Drosophila melanogaster: one gene and its partner. The protein of the gene in region 2 purifies or fractionates together with the protein of the main gene of each other region. This does not show direct contact. Each region holds a gene or a part of one and is shown on either strand. Other genes may lie near its edges.

Evidence for each region.
Region 1: the proteins of cpx (region 2) and nSyb purify together in Drosophila melanogaster (affinity purification with western blotting, with the first as the bait; one study listed by BioGRID). This does not show direct contact.

The regions. Positions count from the first base shown.
Region 1 is NT_037436.4:1,631,515-1,639,513, forward strand, and holds the start of nSyb (neuronal synaptobrevin), read right to left. Parts: upstream 6,161-7,999; 5' UTR 6,119-6,160; intron 6,099-6,118; exon of another isoform or gene 6,045-6,098; intron 5,759-6,044; exon of another isoform or gene 5,756-5,758; 5' UTR 5,306-5,755; coding exon 5,304-5,305; intron 4,496-5,303; exon of another isoform or gene 4,452-4,495; coding exon of another isoform or gene 4,423-4,451; intron 4,171-4,422; coding exon 4,020-4,170; intron 3,946-4,019; coding exon 3,787-3,945; intron 3,724-3,786; coding exon 3,672-3,723; intron 3,394-3,671; coding exon of another isoform or gene 3,380-3,393; exon of another isoform or gene 2,991-3,379; intron 2,293-2,990; coding exon of another isoform or gene 2,276-2,292; exon of another isoform or gene 2,195-2,275; intron 1,992-2,194; coding exon 1,735-1,991; 3' UTR 1,544-1,734; intron 941-1,543; coding exon of another isoform or gene 753-940; 3' UTR 1-752. Other genes in the region: Mettl2 (methyltransferase like 2), read right to left, coding at 6,527-7,340, 7,395-7,558. UniProt on the Drosophila melanogaster protein: Involved in the targeting and/or fusion of transport vesicles to their target membrane. Major SNARE protein of synaptic vesicles which mediates fusion of synaptic vesicles to release neurotransmitters.
Region 2 is NT_033777.3:4,278,593-4,283,329, reverse strand, and holds the start of cpx (complexin), read right to left. Parts: upstream 3,110-4,737; 5' UTR 2,974-3,109; intron 2,946-2,973; exon of another isoform or gene 2,508-2,945; intron 1,626-2,507; exon of another isoform or gene 1,327-1,625; intron 1,167-1,326; exon of another isoform or gene 848-1,166; intron 706-847; exon of another isoform or gene 657-705; 5' UTR 496-656; intron 1-495. UniProt on the Drosophila melanogaster protein: Positively regulates a late step in synaptic vesicle exocytosis.

The DNA of each region.
Region 1 (7,999 bases), on a different chromosome or scaffold from region 2:
TTGTTTGTTGTTTTTTTTTCCAGCCGACTACGCTTGCTGTTTTTGTATAAGTAAACTTGCTTGAAAACATTTAACTGCCTTTTCTCTGGCGGCCCGTCGATTCAAATTCATCTTTTTGGATTATACATTTCGAATATCATATTTGCGTAACTTTACTTAGGAACAAAGCTTAGATTTCATTTCTTTGGTTTCGCGTCTGTTCCGAAATAGTTATGATTCTGTTAGTTTTGTCTAGTCGATTTGCTAAGGAAACTGAGTTCAAAGAGCTGCGAACATCGGGAAGCGACCGCCTGTCCTCCTGCTTCCACTGGCGCTCCTTGTTGCCAGTGCAGCGTAGAGATGCTAGTTCCGTATAGGGTGGTAGTACAGGGTAGTGGTTGGAGTCACTCGTAATATTCAAGTTCCATATATTTGTATTTGTATTTAGATTTGTATTTATATTTATAATTATATATACCGTTTTATGCATGAAATAATGTAACCATAAACAAATTAGCAACAACTTCAAATTGTCCGGAGCGTCTGCATTAGATTTAGTATTAATATTATGACGTAAGTTACTTAAAACCTCTCACACCAACTCGTGCACATCGTCTAAGTGAAAATTATTATTGAGTTTTCATTGCAATTCTCGAGATTTTCTAGTTTAACTGAGTTTTCCTTTCTTGGTTTTCTTTTGTCTTCTCTGCTTTGTTTTCGCCCGCTGAAGGAGCACACTAATCGAGAAACTTTCGTCCTGGCAGCGGGATTGCTTACACGCCGCCGTGATCGCCAGCTCCTGCCGATCCTCCTGCTCCTGCTCCGTCTCCTGCTCCTGCCGCATCCACCAGCGATGACTGTCCTCCGGCTGGCTGCTGCGGTGGCGGCGGCGGTGGCTGCATGTACTGTGGGGGATACTGGTACTGTGGCGGCTGCTCCCCGCCTATGAGTCCAAGTTTATCTGTTTTAAAATGATGCAAGAATTAGTAGGGCACGACATGTGATGGCTCTTTGCGCTCTTTAGCCAATCTCAGACAACGATACACGAGTATACGCCAAAAATATTACACTTCAAGGCTTAAAAGCTCACTCATGACGGAATATAGCAAGTGGACATGGGATGTGGACGGTGGGTGGGGGCGGACAGCAGGGACAACTGCATCGAACAGGTATGGATATATATATATATATATACATATATATTTATGTACATTTAGGCAGTCACTGGAAGCTGTCTTCCTTTGAGCCTCCCGAAGAGAAGTCCTCTCGCTTTTGGTGCAATAAACTTAGGCCAATTTTAAAATACATACAACATTGAATTGTAAAAATCAAATAATAAGGCACTAATCACACATAGACATCGATTAACTCACATACATGCGGCTAAGGCTGGCGGTAAACGATGAGACACCGTTTACAGCCAGCCGAAATAATATAAAACCAGAGGAACGGCGGAAACGGAAGTGGGAGCACAAACGGAAACGGAAGTAAGAAGAAGCGCAGGTGTCAAATTACTGGGTATGATTATTTGCATTGATATGTTGCCGTTTTTTCGTTTGCTTACAGTGTATCGGATTAGATCGATTTTGTCAATGGTACAAAGAAAGTGTGAAATGTTTTCTTTTCGATTTTGATTAATTTTGACTATGGTTCTACGGATGCGTCTTGGTGGTTAATCGATGGCTGATTAGTTTGGTTGGTTGGTTGGTTGGTTGGTTGGTTGAATGTTGGTTTTCAAGAGAGATCGTGAGCGTTCTATTGTCCAGTCGCCACTTCATTCGACGGACTCTGTGGGTGGTCGGTCAATTTCTCGGCCAATGGTTTCTCGAGTGTCGGTGGTTCAGATTTTAGATTTTGTGTATGGTGGTGTGGTTGTAGTTGTTGTTCTTGTTGTTGTAGTAGTTGTGGTGGTGGTGGTGGTGCTGAATCAGGTGCAGTTGCCGATGCCGGAGCCACCTGCTGCTGCAAGGCAGGAGGCTGCGGAGCAGCATTATCATCCGACATGTACGGTTCTACGAGAAATTTTTCGGTGAGTTCATGTTGTTGTTTAATTCAAATCGATTTGTTTTCAAAGCGAGCAGATAAAGATGATAACAATAAAGTATAAATATAGAAACGGTTTTGAGCGATGTAAAACAAAGGATTTATCAACTGGTGCACCTAGCAATAAATGTGGCGTATGAGTAATAAATAAAAGATTGCTCTCGCTGTTTACCTCACACACAAAGTGTTATATTGGGTAAATTGATTTGCTTATGGTTAATAAAATTGTACAAAGCTGAAGCTTTCTGTGTGATTATTCTTCGTCTTTCTCTGTAATTGTTCAAAAATATGGTTCGGTGTTGAGAGTGTGTCAAATCAAGGTGAAAACATTAAAAAAAAACTTAGGTAAATGAAGAAGAATGGCAGTACTTTATGCTTTTGCTGTGGTTCAGTGGCACAAGAAAGGCTGGCTTTTCCAATCCGAAGGCCGTTGCGCTTGCGTGGAGGCTTAGTAACGAGTAACGAGTAACGAGTTGCGTGAAGGCTTAGTATTGAGTAACGAGTTACGAGAAGGGACTACTTTTACTGGGGAAGTGGATTCAAGTTTTGTATTTTACACAGGACATGGCACAGTCGTGTGTCTGTGGCTGGGGTGCTGCTGCCAATATCAGAACGAAACAAACGAAAAACGGATACGGATACGGATACGGTTAACGAAACACTGAACAAACCACAAACTTTACGATTACGGCTTACGGGAGTTAGAACTAGCTAGCTAGAACTTAAGGTCCTACGGATAAGGCTAACGGGCACCATTGAGTATCGGTCCATCTCCGCCAGATCGGCTTCTGGCCGGGGTCCTTCCATTGTCGTCCAGACCCTCAGCCGCAACCCACATGGACGGAGCTGGCGGATCCGATACTCGGCGTGATCTCAACTTGATTACTGGTGGTGGTTAGGCAACGTAACGAAACGAAACAACACAGGACACGACTTTCAGTGGGCATCAAATGAAATCTTTACCGAACCTGTGCGTATGCTCGTATGGAACCAGATGATGTTGGGCTTGGGCATACATGGTACACAATACAAATACTCGCATATGTATGCCACTTAGCATTTAGTTATTGTTCTAGTGGTGGCTGAAGCGCATGACATGATATGATCGATCGATCTATAGTTATGGGAATTTCGCAAGGCATCTAGGTCGAATCGGTTGAGCGAACGGTCAGTTGGACTGTGAGTTCGCAGCTCTACTCATAGCAGTTGTGAATGAGTTGAATTTGGTTTCGGTTTTGGTTTCGATTTGGATTTCGATTGGTTCTTATTGGGTTGATTGATTGGCTTTTGATTTGGTTTCGATTTGCATTGCATTGCGGCTAAGAACTAAATTCTTACGGATTAGATAGTTAGCAATCTACATAAAGTTACCTAGAGAAAAAAAGTGGCGGAATTAAGAACGCAATTTAGATTCGGTGTGTAGATAAACGAAAGCGATTTGGGCCAACGAAATCAGCGCTAAATCAAGGCGAACTCAAAAGACAAACACAACTGGGTAACTGGGTGATCTTGAAAGTATCTTCGGTTCTGTGTGTGCGTGGTGAGTCGAGTGGTGTGGTGTGGTGTGGCGTGGGTCAAGGTCAGTTTCTCTGGGGTATGTGTGTCCCAGAAATGAGTGCACCAAGTTCGCCCAGGATCTGTCAACTTACTTGCAATAATGCCCACGACAACCAGGCCAATCACGCCCATGATGATCATCATCTGTGCGGAGAAAACAAAGATTGAAGTTCGGTCCGACAAGGTAACTGCCATCGTCGCACTTACCTTTAAGTTCTGAAGCCAGAATTTCCTCTTGAGCTTGCCCGCCTGCTGCTCAAACTGCGAGGCACCCTGCTGCAAGGCATCGGCACGGTCGTCCAGCTCCGACAGCTTGCTGTCGCGCTCCAGCACCTTCTCCACGTTCGTGCGCATGATGTCCACGACCTGGTCGGGGATTCAGGGTTGCAGTGGTTAATGGAATGGCTGATCTGTGATCGACTTTCAGTCCCGGAACTCACCTCATCGACCTGCGCCTGCGTCTGCTGCAGACGCTTCTGTGCCGCGATCTGCTGCGGATTGTGTGGTCCGCCCACAATCTCGCCATCGCCGCCCTCTCCGGCCGGGGCTCCGGCATTGGGTGGTGCATCGCCAGCTGGTGCAGCGTCCGCCCTGCGGAGGAGGTCGTCATTAGTCATCGGATGCGAGAACAAGAATAGCTCGGGCCAAGATTAATCAACTTCCAACGGGGGCTCTCGCATTAAATACAGTACTTAGATTACACAAAGAGTGGGTGTGGGTGGGTGGTTACGAACGACTATGGTTTCTAGCTTTAATCGAAATATCTCCAAGATACGTGTGGGCTACGGACAGTGCTGGAGTATAGTTCTAGCCAGCTACCCTTTAACTTGGAGAGACACTTACTGTTCCTTGTTCTTGTCTTTCTTTCCCATCTCAGACCCCCAAAAACTTTGACCTTTAACTCGGCTTCTGGGCTCTGCGGGGCCAAAGGAAGGGAAATTGTTAATTTTAAATAAAAGAATTACAATAGGCGAAGCTACTTATGCTGGACTAGTTTGTATGGTTTCTACGTGATGCATATTTTTTAGTGAAACAAACAATAGAGTGAAGTATCTCAGTATTATCCATAGTCATTTGGTCATTTGGTATTGGTTATTGTTGTTGGCAAAATGTTTTCATCGAACCGTATTTCCCTTTCCCACGACAAAGAAAAAGAAATCAATATCTTACCCTAATCCCTACGACCGGCGACAATTGGTTTTTTTTTTTTACCTACGTGGAGGGAATATTTTTGGATTTCTCAACTTTCCCCGGCTTTTATTGGCAAAATCAATTTTATATGGAATCAAAGAGCATTATCAACAACTTGTATGTGTGTATAAGACGAGCTTTTCTTTTGATCATGACACATATCTTATGTTTGGTTTCAAGCGACCAAAAGAAATAGGTGCAACTTAGTTTGCATGTCCTGACTCACGGGTGCGAATCGTGTTTTTATTGATTTTGCGGTGTGAGAGACTTGGCCATGTGATGCCACAACGTCATCGCCAAGTGATTCATGCCTAGCGAACCGAAACGGCAGCTGCAGCTGGCCCGTGTTCCTTTTACGGATTTTACGGGCGCGAGCACTTGGACAAATGACAAATGAAATGAGCGACCCATGCTGCGTATACTTAATGCGGCTATCAAACGAGCATTCCCTCTGTGACGGCGAAAAGCAAGGCGGGGAATCGAAACCCCCATTTCCCCGCCGGAAAACGAATCAATAACGTCCATCCACTTACATGGCTCTGGTGGCTGTGTGGTTGCTTCTGTGGTTTGGCTGGTGGTGCTCTGGTGGCCTCAGCGAATTCGGCTGTCGATGATTAGGATGAAGGTACTCTATGCACGATGCACTTGGCCTCTTTCACTGTCTTCCACTGGCGCAGGTCGGGATGTGGGATGGTCAGTGGGCGGTGGTGGCGTTGGTGGTGTAGGTAGTGGGTGGTGGTGCAGCTGAACTCTGTTTCGTTGTTTTTGTTCTAGAGGGTTGCGCTCTCAGTGCCGCTTCTCTCTCTCTCTCTCTGTTTCTCTCTCTCTCTGTCGCTCTTCCGCCAGAGCTTTTTCGCCCCGTCGTCAATGAAAATTCACTCCACTCCACGGGGGGATTGGCTGGATCTGGATGATGTGTATGTGTGCGGGTAACACTTGCCACGACAGCCTTTCGCAGGAATTTTCTGGCTCAGCGCTGGAACTGCTGCTGAATAGAGTGCGAAAATAGTTGCAACTATTTTTAGTACATCGGTTAATGCTTGAAATGGGCAGCTATGGGATTCTAATTGGGACGTAAGAGGACTATTTGGGTGGCAGCAACACGCCCAGCCATGAGGCATGTCCTTCCTCATTTCCGTTGCATACCCCCAGGGGCACCTAAGATGTCTTCAAAATGCAAAACGTTTTAAAAATAATTTCAAGTGCCCAACTGGCCAACGTGGGCTCAGAAGAAAAAATCAATGAAATTCTGCACGACAAGGGTTTTCGCTGACTTTGGTTGACATTTCGTTTGATCTTCGTTTTCCTAATCAATCAGTTTTAGCACTTTTGATCAGAATCACTTTACTTTTGCTCGGGCAACTTGAGTTTACAAAAACCAGGCTTAACTAATATTTTACGAATTTTTTTACGCAGCACCAGGAAAATTTTCACTTACGACGTTTTTGGCCAACTGCGAAAACTTGCAGCTTTCCTAACTGTTATGTGTATTTGGGGAAAAAGCTGCCTGGATGGCCAGCAGCGAATGGTGTTCCAGCGAGAAGCTTTTCCTTAGCGATTTCCAAGTGCCGATGGCCAAGGGGTGGGAAATTTAAAAACAAGCCGGGCTTTCCATCAAGAAAAAGAAATGCTCAAAGTTCTAGTAATATTACAGTTTGAAGTTTTAACTTTGTATTTTTAAATATATCGTGTAAATAATTATATCAATTGATTTGAACAAGGTTTAAAATGCACAGAACTATTCGTCTAAATTGATTTAAAGCGGTTTCCTGAACTTTGTCTGAATCCACACGCGGTACATTTTCAAGCCGCGACAGCGATTAACTTGCAGTCTTCGGTCCACAATGAGCTGCTCCTCCTGCAGCCCCGCTTGAGTCATCATACCCCGCAGTTCTTCCTCCGTGAAGAAGTACACCATGGTGCCGTCGCCTCGCACGTAGAAGTTGTCCTCCATACACTTGCCGCTCTTGAAGCGCAGCTGTGCCAGGTCGTATCGTCCGTAGTCGCGGAAGAGGAGCAAGCCACCGGGACGCAGGTAGCGATAGCAATTGTCCAATACCCGCTGCATTTTCTTTGGCTCAATTGCGGACAGCACAAAAATCATCACAATAATGTCCTGTGAGTTTTCCTCGAAGGGCACCTGCCAATGATCCAGCGTGGCATCCATGACAAACACCTCGCAGCGCTTCTCGTCGAACTGCCGTTGGCTTCGCAGGATTTCAATGGCCCGGGCGGAGAAGTCACATCCGAAAACCTTGAGCTGCGGTTCAGAGCTGTACTGTAGAAGGGGTAAAATTGTGTTTCCTACTCCACAGCCCAGTTCGAAAATGCTACGTGGTTGCAGTACCGCCGAATCCGCCGCCAGAGGAGCTAGTTCGGGGAACTCCGTAAACAGCCAGTGGCGATCCTTGAAGAAGCGGTTGTCGTGAATGCCGTAGAAGGAATCCCAAAACTTGGGGGCGTCTGTCTGAAATCGCTCCTTCTGCTCCGCTTCCATCTTTGAGGTCGAATTCTTGGCTACAGCCGCCTTCGCGGCCAGTTCCTGCTCTTCATCCCATTGCACGTGGTCCCTGTGAATCCATGTTTAGAGGGATTTTCATGAGTACTGAACGGCAGATAAGTACCAGGCGTTAAACTCGAACACCTCTCGCGCGTCGGTGAGCACCCGGCTGCCCGCTCCCGACGGTTTTTTACGCTGGCGAGTGTGTTCCCAACTTTTGCTGGCCAATCTCCGGAGGATTTGCCACCCATATTTACCAAGCATTGTGCTTGAAGACGTCGTCAGCATCCGTGAGCAGGCGGGTTCCGAACTGCGGTCGCTTTTCGTTCTCCGCGGCGGGGTTGTCACTCATATCGGACAGGAATGACGGTATATATCACCTGTTTGTGCGATCCAAATTATATATTTTGGTAAACACGCCGCCAGTGTGGCCGTGCACCGATCCAATAAAGTTAAACCGTTAGTATTTTCGAAGCGGCTCTCTTCCGAGCGGGAAATCGGATGTACCCGTTATCGCCCTTTTTTCCAAAAGCAATTGTGAAATATGTGTTCTATGTGTGTTTAGTTTGTGGCGTGTTGAGTACGCATCGAGTTTTTACCGAAACCCCTTAGAGAAAAGGGAAAAATAAAGTTGAAAATTGCGGGCAAATGTAATCGTGCTGCCAGACCATCAATAGTTTATTTTAGGGATGTACTCGTGACTGAATACCTTGGCGGATATCGTTTCAT
Region 2 (4,737 bases):
TGTGGTCGCAACAGGAACACCTTCTTATCTTTGGGCCACTAAACATTTCAAGTTGACCCAAAGTTCTTCTCAGTTGGCTATCCAGTTACATTTAAAGTTTTCTAATACGGGATCCAGTCAGAAAACCAAAGCCAATAAATACGCAAATAAGCTGTGTGTGACTCCGACCCAACGCTGCACCCACGCTCCTAAGCATTTGGCCTTGGCCATAAAAGGGTAAGTATACCTCAAGTATATCATGTATACGCCTCAGGCGAAGCAGCTATGGAGCACTGCGATCGTTTCGTCTTTGGATAGTCTTCGCATTATTTTGAGGACTCGAACGATTGCGTAATGAGCTTGGAACTTTTTGCTGCCTTCGAGCAATCTACGCGTAAAATGTGCAGGATGCGGACGAACACTTTGCACAAATATTTGAAATAAAGTGCGAGCAAGTTTGGAGCATACTTGGGGCATACTTTCGACACTTTTTAGGTTGATGGACCACCCACATACCTGGCCTTAGTTCAGCAAGTATTCCTTTCAGATTTTGCTTGAAGATTCCTGTGAGTGCGTGGACTTGGTTGATGAGGAGCAAAGTTCCGACTAGTCTGCGCGAAATGTGTTTGTTCTAAGGAAATCCACTGTGAAGAGCGTGCATTAGGCAGATAGGCTTCCTGAAAGACAAACAGAGACACAGAAGGCGTCGTTTAGTTGTTCACAGTGCAGAGTTCTGGGCTTCCAGGGTTATATGGCTCCCGGGTTACGGGTTTCAGGGTTCGGCGGGGTCGAGCCGAACCTAGAGGACTGGCGCTAATTTAAAAATAGCAGACACACACACCAACACCCCCAGGGGTCGCATTGTTACCGATGTTTCGCTTGTCGTCGTCGTTATTGTGCTGGCGTGCCACTTGCTTCGTTGCTTTTATCGATATTTCTTTATTAGGGTTTCTTTTATGGGAGCGTGCACGTAAGTGCCTTTTTGAGTGGGGAGGGGTTCGAGGAGGCGGGTGCCACAAGCAAACAAGATTTTTACTTTACGTAATACGCGCAGCAAACAAATTCGATTTGACTCGGGTCCTGGAGTCGTATTCCTTTGGCGGCCGCCGTGTTTCGCTTTTTTCACTGATTCCGATTACATAAGGCTGCGCTTGCAGTGGATCACTCAGTCAACTGGCCGAGCAATTGAATTAGCTTGATAGAACAAATTCGCTTAATCAATTTAGGTTTTCAGTCGTGCTTTCGAGCTCGGGCCGTTCGTCGCTTTTTAAATACTACCAATGTGAGCCAGTATCGACATCGTGCGGGCACATATGTGCCCCACACAAACCCTCTATGTACACGCACTTGCTCTAGTGTGTTGGTGCGGGAGTGTGCTGTGTGTGTCCGTGCGCACTGGCAGTGTGTGTGTGCTTAATACTTTTGCTTTGCTTGCCACTTTTCACTAGACCGTCGCTATGTTTTCTCGGCGCTTCTTACTTCATGCTATGTTCGCACTCTTCTGCACGCCACTGCCAGAGTACCCTACACGAAAAACTCGGTAAACGTGGCTCGTTGCCGCTGTTCCGCATGCGAGCGCCTTACAAAGCGTTGGCGGAGGCAGTGGCGTCGGAGCCGACCGCGCCGCTGCGGCCCCGAAATCCAGTGAATAGCGGGCTTCGAGGGACCGAGCTTTAGCGCCGTCCGAAAATTCTCGGGCTCGGGTTTGAGTGCTTTCCCGCTCGGCTTGCCGAGAGAAAACGAGCACCACAGGCACTCACATAGATAAGGGCAACAATGGTGGGGGTGGGACTCGTTTGACGGCAAGATTGCAGGACCGCCAGGACTGAAAGAACCCTACCCTGCCCCCTTTCTCTATCTCTCTGTCTCTCTAATATATTTATCTGACTGCTATTTTTTGTCTGTTACATAATTCGATTCCCCTCTATCTCTATCCCTCTCAATGTCTTTCGCTCTCACTCTCTTCCTCCTTCGCTCTCTTTCTCGGTCTCAATTTCTTGACTTTTTGACTTTGAAATCAGCAGCAAAAGCGCTGCCTACATTTGGGAGATGGCGCCTGCGCCGAATAGCGTATACGCGATATCGATTCGTGGCGGTCGTGTTAGTGTTCCTGTAACATTTAGCATCAGGCTATGCCGTACTGATAAGACGCTCGCTGTGACTACGAGCCATTATCACCACTCGGAGCGAGAACCAGCCGAACTGCACCGCATCCCTCGGCTGCGCCCTCAACCCACTGGAACGGCCTTTGTTGGCTTGTCAGTGCCACTCTCGTTTGTTTGCACACATTCGTGTGTACATGCTGGGCGGACTGTGCTGACCAGGCAGCAGGAAGACGGGACCGGAAGCACATAGCTTTAAAGGAGGAAATTGCAAAGATCTGGCCACATCCGCTCATCTGTCCGCCATCGGACAGTGGTCGGGTCAAAGTCTATGTCGTGACAAGAGCTCCTATCAAGGTTGCCAAGGGCGCAGGAGAATACTCCAGACTTCTAATTAGTGCGACACAGATCCGACAGTGTTCATACCAATATGGCCGACTAAGATGGCGTCATTGTTTTCCGCTCAATCAATTATAATTTCATAGCGTTTTGGCAGACAGCTTGGTGGATTGGCACTGAATGGGAGGTTAGCTGCCTTCCTCGCCCGTATACAACTGAAGTTCACTCCAGCAAGTCCTTGCTGCACAGCGTGAGATAATTTTTCCTCCACAAATTGCTTATTACTTATGGCTCGACAAAGCGAAGCTCATTGTTTAGTATGATAGTCACGACCTGGCCACTAGGGCATTAAAGGCTGGGGACATAGTCCACTGGCCATTAGACCGCTGGCGTGGGGGACTTGCGCGGAAGGAGGGCGGACCGCGGACCGTGGGGTCTACCTAAACAGTCGGTCACGGAGAACCACAGGGCTTGGGTACTTTCCCCACACCAATGCACGCTACACTCTGCAATATCGCACTGATTGCCACTCGTCACGGACCCGTATACAAACCGAAAAGTTCGCTCTGGGGCGGTGGTGCTGCTGCTGGTGACCGAAACTACATTAACTGCCGAAAACGTTATACTGGTAGCCAGCAGCTCTTGTGGTAACAACAGCCGCCGAAACGCGAAGAGAGTCCCCAACGCAGAGAGCACTGCTGTCAGTTTTGACAGTTGGCCCCAAACAAAACGAAAGCTTGCTGGCCGAAAGCTTTTAGCCGAATTGTTGGTTAATAACGACTTTCCCTTCTGCCGGAGACGGCGTTCTTGCACGCCCTGCTAGACAAGGAGTCCCCTTTCCCATTCCTCATCAGTATTGACTGGCACGCTTACATAAGCCTCGTAGTCTGGCGTTGCGATAAATAAAGTGCACCATGTACGGGCAGGGATTGCTCGGAAGCGGAACCGGTGACAGATTATCCTCCGCTAATTTCTGAACATGTGAGCACCACATCCTTTGTGGGCCTTGCTTTTTAACACACCCGCCGGAAGAAGCGTATTGATAGCAGCTAATGCCCGAATTGGTTGTCGATACGCCGGGATTCCGACCAGGGCCTGCTCCTGCAGGATAAGCTCGAGTGCGGCGGAACAGGAAATTCCTGCGGGTTTTTGCGTGGGAGTAACGGTGGCAATTTATATAAATTATTTAATTAGAGCATACACGTCATAATGGGAAAGTGGGATTGCTTCATCGCCTATTTGCCCAGTTATGATTATTTTTTTCAGGCGTATTTCGCACATTCGCCTCCCGTATCATCAGACGACGTGAGGAAAATTGGCCACATTTTGCTCACTGCTCCAGCTTTTTTAAGAGGTAATGACAGCCAGGAGACCCGTTCGCCTGGACATTTTTAGCAGCATTTAGTTCAGCCGCGATAATTTATATGGCTTCTTTTTTCATAGACTGATACGTTTAGGTGATTAAAAGTATCATTAGTAGATTAGTAGTAGAGTTCTTCGACTGTTGTTTATTAATTACAACAGTATGTCTATACCATTATAGGAATTATACAAATATGCTCACAATTAATAAGTGCGGATGATTTAACAACTTGTTATACTCGTTAAATGGTGTACTATCTTCGTTGAAAAGTATGCAACAGGTAAAGGGAAGCGTAAAGTATAAATATTTGTGATCAGCAAAGTCAGGAACTATTAAAGTTAAAGAGTTGAGATTGGACATGAAAATTCCATTCATTCTAAATGTGGTCACGCCCAATCTAACGCTCACCATCCACCCAAAACTGCCATGCCCACAACTTTTGGAAATGTTTTCATATTTTTTTAATTTTGTTGTAGTCTTTTTTGCAATCGATTTGCCGAAATACTTTTTACCACGCCGGCTCTAATGCACAAAATCCGCCCAAACTGCCATACCCGCACTTTTTAATGTTGGGTAGAGATTTTTTGATTTTATAATGTCTTTCTAATTTCTATCGGCATCCTAAACATTTTTTTGCCACGCCCACACTAACGGTATTGCTGAGGCCGTGTCCCCGCCGCCGCGAAATTTACAATTGCTTTTCTTCTAGGTATTTTCAATTGGCATTTGTAAATTGAAGTTATAAGTCCCCCGTCACAAATAATGATATTGAAAACCCGCCGTCCAAAGCAGCCAGAACTGCCGCCTTGATGGTTGGTACGGTCGTTTTCAATCAATGAGAATTCGCAAAGATGACAACTCAAATTTTCCCAGTTTCAGCTTCAGCCACAGACATTGTCATTTCGGGCCTGCAAAAGCACAAGGCGGCTGCCGCAGGACGGCGTGCGGGCTTAA